Linked DNA regions of Notamacropus eugenii. The protein of the gene in region 2 interacts with the protein of the main gene of each other region in a biochemical or structural test. Links are inferred from orthologs where the notes say so. Each region holds a gene or a part of one and is shown on either strand. Other genes may lie near its edges.

The links. The genes of interacting proteins can lie anywhere in the genome.
Region 1: the proteins of BMP7 (region 2) and ACVR1 form a complex in vitro, tested with the Homo sapiens proteins (2 studies listed by BioGRID). The link is inferred for Notamacropus eugenii from reciprocal best matches to the Homo sapiens genes BMP7 and ACVR1.

What each region holds. Positions count from the first base shown.
Region 1 is NC_092876.1:216,757,499-216,765,175, reverse strand, and holds the start of ACVR1 (activin receptor type-1), read left to right. Parts: upstream 1-4,624; 5' UTR 4,625-4,639; coding exon 4,640-4,647; intron 4,648-7,677. UniProt on the Homo sapiens protein: Bone morphogenetic protein (BMP) type I receptor that is involved in a wide variety of biological processes, including bone, heart, cartilage, nervous, and reproductive system development and regulation.
Region 2 is NC_092872.1:508,734,127-508,741,618, forward strand, and holds the start of BMP7 (bone morphogenetic protein 7), read left to right. Parts: upstream 1-4,431; 5' UTR 4,432-4,511; intron 4,512-4,965; exon of another isoform or gene 4,966-5,131; 5' UTR 5,132-5,187; coding exon 5,188-5,608; intron 5,609-7,492. UniProt on the Homo sapiens protein: Growth factor of the TGF-beta superfamily that plays important role in various biological processes, including embryogenesis, hematopoiesis, neurogenesis and skeletal morphogenesis.

The sequences.
Region 1 (7,677 bases), on a different chromosome or scaffold from region 2:
AGTCCCTGTTCTCCAGGATACTAATGGTTTACTAAGGAAATGAGACATGAACTGAAATAGATCTGATAGCAATCAATTAGAGGCAGTTAGGTGATACAGTGGATAGTGTGCTGGGCTTGGAGTCAGGAAGACCTGAGTTCAAATCTAGCCTCAGACCGTGACTAGCTGTGTAACTTTGGGCAAGTCACTTAACCTCTGCCTATCCCACTTTCTTCAGCTGTAAAATGGGAATCATAATAGCACCAACCTCTTTCAGGGCTGCTGTAAAGATCAAATGAGATAAGGTTTCTAAAGTGTTAAAGTGTTTAACAGCACACACATAGTAGTTAACAAATCCATCAGTCCTTTCCTTTCTTATTAGAAATGTATATCCTGTGATGAAATACTACTGTACTATAAGAAATGATGAGCTCAGTGATCTTAGAAAAACATGAAAAGACTTGCACAAAATAATGGAGTGAAATGAACAGAACCACGAGAACATTGTATACACTAAAAGCAATATTGTTTTAAGAACAACTTTGAGCAAGTAAGTCATTTTGACTATATAACTACCTAAGTTAGCTAACGTATGAAGGAAGAAGCTGTCTGCATTCAGAAGAATAACTGGTAAATAGAAATATATATAGAATGATTTTACATATGCATGTCTATTTGTGTCTATGGTAGCCATCTCTAGGTAAAGGGGGGAAGGGAAGAAAAAAGGGAAAAAAAGAAATTTACATGATAACTTTAAAAGGAATTGCAAGCTGTACATATGATTTGCAGTTTCATGTACAATCATTTTGAAAAATTATACTGTTATGAAAATGCTTGCTTTATTCCATAAATTAAAAACAAAATAAATAAAAATTGTTTTTTTTAATGTATATACTTACTAGGTGTTAGAGAGACAAGAGATTAGGAAAGAAGAGATGTCCTGTAGCCTTTCTTAGGTAGGGAACAATTGTTCCTAGGTGCTGGAGAAACAGAAATAAAAAGTGGAAAACATTTTTAAAATTTCATTTATTTATTTATTTATTTGTGTTTTTGGAGGGAGGAAGGCAAGGCAGTTAAGTGACTTGCCCAAGGTCACACAGCTAGTAAGTGTCAAGTGTCTTGAGACTGGATTTGAACTCAGGTCCTCCTGACTCCAGGGTCGATGCTCTGTGGTGGCACTGTGCCACCTTGCTCCTCCAAAACATTTCTTTTTTTAAGTGAAAAAAATTATTCTTCAATTTGCACTTAGTTTATCACTTTTCTCTCTGAAACAGGTTTTTCATCACAAGTCCTTTGGAATAGTCTTGAATCATTGTATTCTTTCATCATTCTAATATTGCTGTTATTGTGTACAATAATCTCCTGATTTTGCTCATTTCACTCTGCATCAGTTCTTAAAGGTTTTCTCAAGTTTTTCTGAAACCATCTCCTTCATTATTTTTTAGAACACAGTAGTATTCCATCACAATCGTATACCACAACTTGCTTAGCCATTCTCCAATTAGTGGCATCTTCTAAGTTTCCAATTCTTTGCCACCACAAAAAGAACAGCTATAAATATTTTGTACATATAGGTCCTGTGAAAGACATTTCTACTGAGGAATACAACATGTAAACAGTAAGAAAAAGATAAATTAAGGAAAAATAGAGATTTTTTTTTTAATGCTAGCGATAATAGGGAATCTCTAAACTTTTGAACAAGAATGCTGCTCAGAGATGAAGATCCAGGTCTTAGAGTATATCAGTGGTTTTGTGGTAGAAGATGGTCCAGCAAAAGAGAAAGCGGAGAAAATGGACAAATAAGAGAAACCAGGAGAGACCAGGAGAAAGTGGAGGCAAAGAGTGTAATTTTTTTTTCTGAAAGGGAAGTGATTTAGGAAGATAAGCCCCCACCCACCACCCCCATTTGTCAGAAACTGGAACAGAGGAGATGAGGATGGTGAATGATAATACAAAAGAGATTTTAAGGTGTATAATAAGGATTTCACATTAGATGGTCCCAACTTTTTCACTTAAGTAAAGGTTATATCCTTCGAGATAAAGATTGGAGGGGAAGGTATATTAGGCTCCCTCATTTGTAAGACGGAGGGTTGTTAGAGTGAATGAACAGCTCAAGCTTTTATTGAATATCTATTACACTATAATACAAAGACAAAAAAGTCAAACAACCCTCTGGTCTCAAGGGGCATCTGTTTTACTGACTGTTCTGGGTTCATAAGACTCAACAAGCTAACCGAAAGAGAGTATCTAATCTGATACCTTTACTGTTTATACAAGGTATTCCAAAAAGTCTTAATGCAGTACTGAGCTTTTAATAGCTTTAAATGGCACTAAACTCTTGAAACGGACGTTAGTTAAGTGGCTTACCCACAGTTAAACAACTGATGTGCATCCTATGGTGAGTGGAGTGCTGGACTTCGAATTGGGAAGACCTGTGTTCATGTCCCGCCTTTCATTTCTTATGTTTTTAATCCCTCTGATCCTTAGTTATCATATGATAATGTCACAGGGTAAAATCTTACAATCCATAAATGCCAGTACTTGTCATAGTTACTGTTTTTATATTTGCTGTTAAGTATATGATTTGAAATTTAAACTCAAGTCTTTGATCCCAAATAATAGGACTTATTTATATAGGACCTCCAAATTGTTCTTCCTACTACATCAGGGATTCTTTACCTTTTTATATGTCATAGACACCTTTGGCAGTTCAATGAAGTGTATGGACCTGTTCTCAGAGTAATATTTTTAATTACACTGAATAAAGTGCATAGGATTGATTACAAAAGAAATTGATGAGATTGAATAAAATTATCTACCTATTTTTTTTTAAAGTTTATGGACCTTATTTCTAAAGTTCTGTAATAAATAATGAATGGGGATCTCAGGAAACAAACCAAAAATCTAATGCTTTGTTCATTAATTGAGGGTGGTGCTACAGTTTGTTTTGAAAATTCTGAGTTTTATGCTTGGGGACACCAGGAGATAGGTTAGACTTTTAAGTCCACTGCTGACCTTCTGGCCTTTCTCTATCCCTGGATTGCGCACGTTAGAAGTACTTTCTATCCCTGAAGCCTCTTCCTCCCATTAGCAACTTCCCCACAGAACATCCATTTTGAGAACTATCCCCAGATCACCCTGGTCTTCAATTTCTCCAGGCTACACTCCAGCTGGCTCTTTAGATTTTCTCTACAATGCCCCCTAAGTCATCTGGTTGTTGTTGCTGCTGCTTGGTCATTTCAGTTGTGTCTGACTTTTCATGACTGCATTTGGGGTTTTCTTGGCAAAGATATTAAAATGGTTTACCATTTCCTTCTCTGGCTCATTTTATAGATGAAGAACTAAAGCAAGCAGGGTTGAGTGACTTGTCCAGGATCACACAGCTAGTAAATGTCTGAGGCTGGATTTGAACTCAGGAAAACAAATCTTCCTGACTTCAGGCCAGGCACTCTATTCACTGTACAGCCTAGCTGCCCTTGGTACCCTCCTGGTACCTTTTTATTTTTCCCACCCCATCTCAGTTTTCTTTATGTATTGTCTTCTTCCATTAGAGAGTAAAGTTCCCGAGGTCTGGGACTGGCTTTCTGCTTGTGTCTTCCCAGCCTTAGCACCATGCCTGGCATATAGAAAGCCCTTAATAAATGCTTGTTAACTTGATATGATGTTGGACTTTTTAAGTGCTTTCCTACCCATGTGGAGGACTCTATAGCTTTGACTTTTTAACATACTGCAAAAGCTTTTTTACAGCACACTTTGAATAATAGTCATGAAGGACACCATCCTTAGCACACCCAGGCTGCCCTTCCTTGGTGTCCTTCATTCTCATTTGTACGGAACAGCTGTCTTGGATCTTGAGAAATTCTCTGCTATGGAATCTTCCCAGTACCTTTTTGAGTGAGGGAGGATGGTGTCCACCAGGGGCACAGGGCCAGGGCTTTTACTGATATGCCTGAGAGTTGTATTATAAGGTGCCTGTAATTCTAGGTGGTTCCAGGATGGGACATGAATTTCATTGTGTCTCATTGCATCTCCTTATGTTAAAAATGTGCAGCTACACCAACATTGACGTTCGTTTTGTTTATTCCTGAAAACATGGCATTTTGTTTTGCTTTTGGTCATTCAGCCTCATTTGGGGTGATTGTCAGCTGGGAGGTTGGCAGGAGGGGGAGAAGAGAAAGCTGCATTTTGGCAACCCTTCAAGAGTCGAGCAGCTTCCTGCAGCCAGGACCATAAACTGTATAATTTGTCCATGGAGGCCTATGCATTATAGAAATGAAAATTCCTTCTCTGACAGCATTCACTGCTTAGCACGCAGCAATTTGGCTGTCAGAAACAGCTGGCCCTGCAGGGTGGGACAATAGAAAGGCAAGACTGAGAGAGAAGGAAGTGCTTACTCAAATCTCCCACTGTGAGAGGATCAGGTTACTGAGTCCATCCTTACAACAGACAGCAGACTGCACGGGGCTCTAAGACACACAGCTTCAAGTCTGAGCAGGAGACTATGGTTCAGACATTTTAGTGGTGTTTTGGGATTTTTTTCTTTTCCTGAATGGAACAACAAAAATATTAAAAAAACAAACCTCCTTCATGGGTACTCCAAATGTGGCTTTCTCTTTGCATTAAGATATTTTGAGAGTCTTCTGCTTGGAGATAAGCATTAATGGGAAAGTAAGTCCTTTGAGCTCTTGCGTGTGTCTAATTCATTGGGGCAGTGGAAGGGTATGTGAGGGACGGGGAAAGTATTTCTTGATATATTTCATGCTTGGTCTAGAACTTTTTTGTTCTGTTTAGGAACAGTTTTTAATTGAAAGTGATTGACACAAATATGAGGGAAGACCGAAGCAAGAGGCTGGCCGAGGGCTCCTTCTGGGTGCGTTTTTGCTGCTTGCATGGGTGCACACTGTCTAACTGGCATTTATTTCTCTTGGAGGGAGAGAGAGGTGCCGCTGTCTTGAACTTGCTTCTCTCTCTGTGGGTCTGCAGCATGTCTGGCTTTGTGTTTTCCCCTATCGATTCCATGACTCACTGAGTGTGATCTAAGCAAAAAGCTTGCTTAAATGACAGAGGAGACAGCTGTCTGTTACAGGAGGACATATTTTCTGGGTTTAATGGCGCCAGGTTTTTCCTAGTAATGTACAGAGCTGTAAAGTTTCTACAGAAGGTTTTTTCTTCACTAAATGTTTTCCCCCAGTTGTGTTCCAAATTCTTAATAGTCTAAATATTAACTTCACAATGTGATGTGTCCTTCAGGAAAGCAATATGCTTCAGGTTTTTTTTTCTTTTTGTAGATTACTTTTCTAAGCTGATTTTTTTTTCATGTAAAAAGTATTTGAGAGAACAGAAGCCCAGCATTGCTGTGGAAAAGATATTTTCTTCTCCAGCTGAGTAGGGCATTGGAAATATACTAAAGTACATTTATTTAGGCAAGTTAGAGGGTTGGAATCTGGTAGTTGTTCAATTTATACTGTACTCTAGGTTTTTTTTTTTTTGAATTTTCCTTCTCCCCTTTAAATCTGTTTCCCCTTTATATGATAGAGGCTGAAGTTCCAGATGTTGTTTTGGTTTAAAGAGTGTGTGGAAAAAAAATAAGCTTTCTTAATGATAATAACAGAGTCAGACTGGCTGGTTCTGTACTGACAGGAAAATGGAGAGATAAAAACTCCATTAATGGTGCATGCACTGCCTAAGTAGCCAATAAAACAATGCTGTCTTCACTGGAAACTAGTCCCAGATTGGCAATGATCAGTGCCAACTGCAAAAGACAACAGCTGCAGAGCTTGACAAAAGTATTAGAGTAAAAAAACGATATATTAAATGATTTTTGAGAGGGGGAGGGCGGTTCTTTTGTTCTCATCTTCCTTCTCCTTCCCACCCTCTTTTCTTAAGTCCTGCTTAATACTTGCTCTTTTGGAGAGTTAACCATGTTTGATTGAAACTTAGCTATCAAAAGAAGAAAGTGATTCTCTGAATGAGTCAAGTTCAAGTATATTTGCTGAGGTTTGGATAGAGGGCTGTTTTTGACTAGGGACCTAAGTGCGAGTGTATCTTAAATTTTTAAAAGTGGCCTCACTTTTCACAAAAGTTTTATTTTATTCTTTAAGTTGGTAGAAGAAAACATTTTTTCCCTAGCTTTACTTCCTAGAAATATCTTCCATTTTCTGAGTGATACATTCTTTTTACTTCTACACCACAGGTATTATTTTATTATTTTCTAAAATGTAGCTCATTTCATAAGACATTATTATGTATTGTACAAAGTTTGTATTCATTCATTCAGTAAATACTTTTTGAAAATCTGTATGTGACACTGAAGTGTATACAAAATCCTTGGCTGAGGAGGAGGTTAAAATTTGGCAAGTAGACTACAACTTAATAATGTGCACTTTTTCTTTTCATTTTTAAATCAAATTTAATTTTTTCAAACAATGAAAATCTGCCTTATCTCTTCTCTCCCATTGAGAAAAAAGAAAAAGAAAACTGTTGTTACAAACATGTATAATCAAATAAAACAAATTCCCACACTGATCACATCCAAAAAACAAAAAAATCTTCAATCTGTACAATGAGTCTATCACCTCTTTTTCAGGATTTGGGTAGCTTGACGATCACAGGTCTTCTGGAATTAAATAGTCGTTGTGTAGAACTGTATTCTAAATCTTTCAAAGTTGTTTATTGTTTAAGTATTGTTGAATAATATGCTTTTCTATAGAATTTGGAACTTTGAAGTTTCTAAAAAGACTATTTGCATAAAATTAACTATAAAACAAAGTAGTAAGTCCTGAACTGCATAAATGTTGAAAGCCACAGTGAATTGTATAGGCATTCAGAAGAGTTCAGATACTCTCCTTTATAAGTATTTTGCCATCTGAGGTGTATCAGTGGATGTATGCAGGATGTGCAGATTAGAAACTTTAAATTACATGAGTGGACAAGATATAACATATAGGTTAATGTTATGTAGATATATTTGGGATGGAGATGTAGAAGCCTGTTGTTAATGTTTATCCTTTGCTATTGAGAGGTCCAATGATATCACAAGGGTGATGTCTTGACTTCAGTAAGAATTGAAGTGAGGCAGAATTACACAAAGTCTTCAGCCTCACCTCACCCTCTGGTTGAGCAGTCCAGTGGCAAGACAAAAGTTTGGATGACTAGTGATAGCTTAGGGTGCAGCGGATGACCTTGAGTTTTCTAAATTAAGGTCTTGCCCAGCCTTCAGTTTGTCTGACAGTGTGTGTGTGTGTGTGTGTGTGTGTGTGTGTGTGTGTGTGTGTGTGTGTGTGTGTGTGTAGGAAAGCTGCATGAAGGAGGTACAATTTGGGATGTTTAAATTGTAACTGATGAATCATCTGGTGTTATGGGGAGGAAGAAATACCCTAGATTTTGGGGGGCTCCTCTGGCTAGAGAAGATAGTAGTGATCTAAGTGGAAGAAGCATTGAGCAAGACAGAAAGAATGAACTGTGATATGAGTGACTTGGAAGTGAAGAATTTTGAAGGTGAATGAAACTTTTGGGTTTGATCCGTAAAACTAGACTAGAGTTTTAGGGAGGGGTTAATTTAGAGCTGGAAATAAGGACCATAGTACTCATCTAACCCTATTTCCTTTATTTTATAGATGAAGGAAAGGAAACCCAGAGAGGGTAAGTAGCCTCTCCAGGGTCACACATTATCTGGCCTTAGAATTCCAACTCAAGTCT
Region 2 (7,492 bases):
ACAAAAGTGATGATGATAAACAACACTGTGGCCATAGGCAGCGGTTCATAAGACCAGAACTTGAAATCACAGCTCCATCATCGAATTTCTTTGGAGAAATGTATGTGTTTTATTTCCATTTGGAATTGTGGTCTGTGCCACGTGTACATTAACCTGACAAAAGACATTTATACTCTTAACCTCCCTCCCCCACCCAATACTATTTTAAAAAAAAGCAAAACTAGTTTGGGGTGAAGAAAACACCAGGGTGAGGTAGCTTATATAGGCTGTTCTTCAATGAAAGGAAAGATTTCCATGGAAAATAATATTGAATTTCATATATGCTAAAAAATTTGACTTTCCAGAGCAGATTTCCTTCCATCCACAGGACTCCAGATCCCACATAAATGCAGAGCCTCATCCCCATTTTGCATGTGGGGAGACTGAGGTACACATGGGCTAAGTGATCCAAAGGAAGAGCCTCTCACTTTGGAGACAGCCTTACATGTTCTATATGATTTTCTATCATTATAGAGGAAAATGAAGCCCCCTACCTAGCCTGAGTAATACACACAACAGCAGCTTTCTTTTTATTGCCTTAGCGACATATGCTGACTTAGTCAAGATCCCTCTAGTAAGCTGTGACGGATGATGTATGCGATGAAAAATCCTTGTCCAGCACTTGGAGAACAGCGAGCAGGCTGTGAAGACTCTGCTTTGTAGGGGACTGAGGAGACACCACGTAACAGCACCTTACATTACAATCTGTCTTTCATCCAGGAGAACCTAACCCTCAGGTGCAGAGTAGACTAATATGCATATCAGATTGCACCCCTCTGGGATGAGGCACAGGGTGCTGTCACCATCCCAGTTCCAGAAGAAGCCACCAAGACAGAGAAAGCTTGAGGGGAAACTGGATAAGCCCCAGGAAAGTGACTGGGGTTGCTGCCTGGAATGGGGGTTGGAGGAAGTGTGGAGTACAGAGAGACTGAAATGGACTCTAAGAAAATGTTCCCCAACCTCACATCCTGAAAATTTCTTTTTTCTTTTCATGAGAAAGGCAGTAAGTTTCATGTAGTGGAAAGAGCCCTGGTTTGGGAGTCAGATGATCTGAGTTTGAATCTAGTTCTAACACTTAAGAGCTCTGTGACCTTCAAGCAGTCAGTTAACCTCTGTGTGCCTCAAATGTCCCTCCCCTCAGAAACCTTGCAGCCCAAAGTTGGTTGGTTTGTTTTTTAATTTTTATGAGGGAAGTATTTTAAGGGAACCCTAAAGCTCTAGAAATGTGTTATAGCTTACTGCAGACAGTCAGTTATTAATAAATTTTTCTTTGGCATGGCATAAAAAGAAGTAGTTAGAGAAATTAATGATTCCTTTTATTTAAATGAATTTACCAGCCTACATGGACAATAATTTAAGAATTCCCTGAAGGACTGAGCAAAAAAGTTTTTTTTGTTTCTGTTGACATGGCTGATCCTTCTAGTGTGAAAGACCTGCCTCTTACCTGCACAGAGGTGACTTTCAACTCTCTTGTTAGTAGCCCCAACTCAGATGCTTCCTCCTCTGTGCATCCTTCCTCTACTATTTCTTTCCCCAAGTGATGTGACCTCTCCCTCCTTAAATCTCCCATAGAATTTTGCTTGGTTTTCTTCTTTATATTCACCTCATTTTCTCCTGTTATCCTGATTTGCATGCTTGTCTCCTTTCCCCTTCCTACCTTGAGAACAGGGTCTGTGGCATATATATTTCAATATCTATAACACTATACACATTTAAATAGATAATCAGTTTATGTTGGTTGAACTGAAACTCACTTCACTTCTTAGGACCTCAGTTTCCTTATCTGTAAAGTAAGGGAGCTGAATCGTATGAAGGCCTGCCCTTTTCAGTTCTAATTTCTATAATTCTGTGATCCTTCCAAACTGTAAAGGCTTCTGGTAACACACCATGTCTGAAGGATTTAAGTACAGAGAAGCTCATTACCAGAAGTTTGGTCATTAGGTGATGATTTTCTCATCCCCTCTCTCCCCTGGTAATTTAATCTGCATTGAGGTCCTTATTAGTGCAAATAATGAATCTAGGGAAGTGGTCTCATTATTTGAATTCACATTGCATGCTTCCATTGGGCTGGAATCCATTACCATATTTTACTTAGTTATTAACTCTGAATTGTGTAAATTCAAATACATAGGACCATTTATTTCAGAAGATTCATTTGTTATTTGCACTGATTAGGACCTAGCTGCATTTAAAGTATGGAAAGTTTGTGCTCTGTATCAGGAGAGGGATTACCCACACAGATGAAATCAAAGATCTTTTGAAGTAGATTTTAACACATTTATTTTCTTTTCACCCAGATGCTCTGCACTTGTAGGAGCTCCTGGAACTCTTTTAAGGTCTCTTCAAACTCAGATTCTGATTCACTTCACTCAGCTCATTCTTGTCAGTCTGTTCCTTTCTATTGAATTGGGAGTCAAGAAACCTGAATTCCAGGCCAACTCTGATAATCACTGGTTGTGTGACTTTGGGCAAGTCACTTAATTCCTCTAAGCCTCAGTTTCCTCATTTGTAAACTGAGGATAATAGTACCCATACTACCTTACTTACAGAGTTATTGTGAGGAAAACTCTAGTGCTATATAAATGTGAGCTATTATTAGGTTTGCTACTTTAAGCAATACAACCAATAATCATTCATCCAAAAAGCATTTATTGAGGGCCTACTGTGATTGCTATGAAATGTTTGAGGAATGATGCATAGAAGACAACTACCACCTCAGTCCTGATGGACCTGAAAGATAAGTCAAATTGAGGGTTGTGGTGTTAAGGAAGGGGATCTTATCTATACAAAGGTCTTGGATAATAACCATGAGTTCATTCACTCTGAAGCTTGCATTAGAAAGGATGGCATGCCTAAGAAAATAGCTAGGTGACCTGCTGCTTTCCTGGGAAACAGTTGGGAGAGACTAAGTGTATTTGTCACAAAAATAGTGGAACTATTTTGCTTCTAGTGAAAAGTACACTTTTTGGAGGCTGGGGTTTCATCCTTGTTCTGTCACTCTGAGCAAGTTACTTAACCTCTCAGCTCTTTTCTGTTCCGTGGGACCAATAATACCTACCCTTCCTACCTCACTGGATTATTGTGAGAGTCATGTGACATAATTAATACACGTGAAAGTACTTTGAAAAGCACAAAGGTCTATACAAGTAGGGGAGGTCCTGTTACTTTGGGGATAATATTTTTCTCTTTATTTAGCATTTTAGGCCACTCAGAAAAAGTACTGTGTGAGTACATAAAAGGTAGTAGAGGTAGGTGCCTACCTACCTCACCTTTAAAGTTTTGTTTAAATACCAATTAATTGCCTTCAGTTGGTAATGACCTTCCTTCCCTTAGACTTTACTTAGCTTTTTGTTCTGCATCTTCAAGCACTTAAGTAATATTGTGTATTTAGCTATCTGTATTGGTGTTTTATCCTCCCCAGCTAGATTCCTTTTGCAGGGACCTAATATATTCTCTTCCTTATGGCTACCAGTGGCCAGTATATACACTGAGTACACTGTAGGCATTCAGTAAATCTTGTAATGGATTATTCCTCTTGTCCAGGCCCCTGCTTCAGCTGGAGATCAGTCGTAGTAGTCATATTTGGCCTTCCCAAAGAGAGGCTCAGGGTGGAGCCACCCTACCCGGGAAAGGAAAGACCAGAGAAATGTCAGCTTCAACCTGCTCTTCCCTGTCTTCTGCTTCCCATGTGCGCATCTATTTCTTTGGGATAACAGCCCATGGCTAGAGTACTAACTAGAAAGAAGAGTGTCATCTGGGTTCTCCCTGCTCCTGAAGTGGGGGGGGGGGGGGACACAGAGAAGAACCACAAAGGGAGATCACCTCAACTCCCAGACCACCTGTTGAACCTTTGAAGCTCCCAATCCCTTGCAGGAAGGAGAGGTGGTAATTAATTTGCTTTGTTAGGTCCTTTATCCTCTAGCTCTCCTGACCTTGGGCTAACTATCTATGTAGGTCAGGGCAGACTATAACCAAAAAAACCCACACAAAAAAAATAAAAAACAAAAGGCAGCTATCCTTCTTGAAGTGCTTCCCTGGGATCCTCCCCTGGCACTAATGGCAGCAGCTGGTGGGTGGGTGGGGCAGAAGGGTGTCGTTGCTGGCAGCTTTCCTGCCCAGAATGTTTCTTCCCTTGGGCGGGAGTGGAAAGTGTGTGTGGTGGTGGTGTTGGTGGTGGTGGTAGTGGTGCTAGTGGCAGTGGGAGGTGAATGGGAGCTCCTTCTATGGACAGCAGTTTGAGGGGGGAGGGTGGTAAGACGGAGATAGATAGTAGGCTCAGGTGGGAGGGTGGTGGGGGCACAGTCATATTTCTGTCCCTTTTCCTTTCTTTCCAACTATTGTTATTGAGTTCTGGAAGGCTGCAGGCGCACTCTGAAACCAGCTTCTAAACCACTTAGGTTAATTTAACTGCTTGTGAAGAGCCCACCCTGCTTTGAGCCCGGAGCCTCCAAAACATCTTGAAAAGAAAGCCGGTGAGCTCTGGGTCATAATATGGTTTTCTTCTCTAAGCAATTTGGAGTCTGTCTCTCTGTGCGAGTGAGCGCGTGTGTGTGAGTGTGTGTGAGTGTGTGTGTGTGTGTGTGTGTGTGTGTGAGAGAGAGAGAGAGAGAGAGAGAGAGAGAGAGAGAGAGAGAGAGAGAGAGAGAGAGAGAGAGAGAGAGAGAGAGGAGAGAGGAGAGAGAGAGAGAGAGAGAGAGAGCTCTGAGTTTTACTGGCTGCTCCTCCCACAAGATACAACTCCCGCTGCCTCTGTCTGCAAAGCAACATTCAAACACCACTTTGAGACTTGGTGTGTGTGAGAAGTGAAGAGAGGAGAGCAGAGCTGAGGACCCCCCCCCCCCCCCCCCCAAGAATTGAAAGCCAAACTCAGTCCGCTGGGGAGATTCATCTGTCGCCTGTCTTCTCTATGTGGATTTTACAATCTGAGGGGAAACAAAAGCAATATTGAACAAGTTAGCCATGAGAAATGCTTTGCAGTGGCTCTCTGGGGAAGTTGTGTAGCAAGTGACCAGGGCTCTGAAGCAGCCTCTCTTCCCTCTTCCCTCCAAACTTTAGCTGTATTTAATGGTCAAGTATTTATTTGGATCCCCAGGCTAGCCCAGTTGCTCTCTTTCTCCCCTTCCTGGAGAGCCCTGTGAAGCAAGAGAGATGCATGTGGTGTGGCTCAAGCCGGGACCCCCCAGCTTCCTGGTCCTTTGGTCTCCACTTTTTCTACTGCTGCGCTCCATCCTGGCCGACTTCACCCTGGATAATGAGGTGCACTCCAGCTTCATCCACAGGAGGCTCCGCAGCCAAGAGCGCCGAGAGATGCAACGAGAAATCCTCTCCATCCTGGGTTTGCCCCACCGGCCCAGGCCCCACCTCCATGGCAAACAGAACTCAGCCCCCATGTTCATGCTGGATCTCTACAATGCCATGTCAGTGGAGGAGGAGGTCGGCGGAGAAGAGGGCCAGGGGTTCTCTTACCCTTACAAGCCCATCTTCAGCACCCAGGGTCCTCCGCTGGCCAGTTTGCAGGACAGTAACTTTCTAACTGATGCAGATATGGTCATGAGCTTCGTCAATCTGGGTGAGTGGGGTCAATGGAATTTACTTTTCCCACACAAGGTGGGACAGAGGGTATGGGTGCTCCAAGGTACCTCTATGGGAAGATGATGGGGAGGAGGCTGTTTAACGAGCAAAGGAGATCTCCACTCTCCTTTGTGGAGTCACTAGGGTGAACTGAAAAGGGGATTTGGGTTTTTGAGGGAAATAGCAAGGACTGGCTATAGAAAAGGCTCATAATTTTATTCTATCAGATCGGAGGAAAGCAGAATTTCTTCCCGAGATCGCTTTGAAGTAGCTCAATTTCTCTTTGCTGTAATGAGGACTCATATCCCTTTAACTGTCTTGAGTTCCCCCTGTTCCCCACACCCTCTCACCAGACACCTTTCTTCCCACCTGAATTCCTCCTCCTTCCCAAAACAGAAAGCGGATGTTTTTCTTTGCCGGGTCTAAGGCGAACGTGGACTGGGAACGTTCCCAGGTAGGGAAACCCAGCGTGTGAGTGTGTGTATGTGAGTGTGTGTGTGAGTGAGTGTGTGTGTGAGTGTGTGTGTGTCCTCACAGGGAATGTCTTCTGAAGTCTTTCTCTCTTTCCTGGCTGTTGTACCTCTTGGGGGAAGATGTAAAACCGGGAGAGGCAAAGAGCTAGTGAGATTCGGCACAGTTCAAAGCATCAGGCTTTGAGTCATGTGAATGCTCCCAGCTAAGGCAACTGCAAATGGACAGATCCCAGTGGATTGGGGGAAGCTGCCTTAGCCAGATTTAAAGGGCCAAGCTTCTGTTAACCTGCTTTCCTAATGACTTTCTCTCTCTCTCTCTCTCTCTCTCTCTCTCTCTCTCTCTCTCTCTCTCTCTCTCTCTCTCTCTCTCTCTCTCTCTCTCTCTCTCTCTCTCTCCTCTCTCTCTCCCCTCTTCCCCCCCCCCCCCCCCCCCCCGTCTCTATCTCTTTTTCTCTGTCTCTTTTTGTCTCTCTCTCTTACCCCCTTCTTCCCCTCTCCCCCAGTCTAGTTGAGGTCATTTAACATACCTTTCTGGTCAAGCTTCTATGAGGGGAGTTCTCTCTACTATAAAGTTATACCTGCCCTTTCGTTTGCCTTCTTTGCACCCCTTTAACTGGACTCCCTAGGACAGAAGGATTTTGTTTGCTTTCTGACAGCAATGCCCCTTCTTGAGTCAGCCAAGTTTGAGTGAAAACATTGCCATTGCAAGCATTCTATTTAAAATATATAATGATAGGTCCCTGGCTTACTGAATCCATTTTAAGCATTGATCACGTGTGGCTCACAAACCACCAAACACAGAGATTGGGTGTCTCCAAATCTCGGAACTGAATCTGGAGGGTAGTTTAGGGAATGGGCCCCACGCTCAGCCTTCACCAGGCATCAACAATGGCAGGAAGGTTTGGGGGCTTGGAGAGATGCCATGGCGTGTGTGTGTGTGTGTGTGTGTGTGTGTGTGTGTGTGTGTGTGTGTGTGTGTGTGTGTGTGTGTGTGTGTGTGCGCGCGCGCGCGCGTGTGTGTGCAGTTGATTGGGCATCTTCTTCCCTTGGCCTCAGAGGTGGAGGCCACCTGCTGGGAGGACTTTGGAAAGGTGGAATCTACAGTCTACTTAGAACCTCTGTCCCCAAACCCTCAGCTCTGAGCTTCTCATCTTTGGCAGAAATAATAACACTTATACTTCAAGTGAACATAATACTTGAAATACTGAAGTTAAACTTAAGGTTTACAAAAGTGCTTTCCTCACTTCCTTTCACAATTCACAGAATCCTATGAAGTAGGAAAAACAAAGTTACTTGTCCAGGGTCACACAGTCACTAAGGGTCAGAGCTTGTTTGTGAATTCAGAATCTCCTGATACTCAAGTTCAGGGCTCTGGCCTCTGTACTGTCCCATTGGGTTCTTTTTTCCCC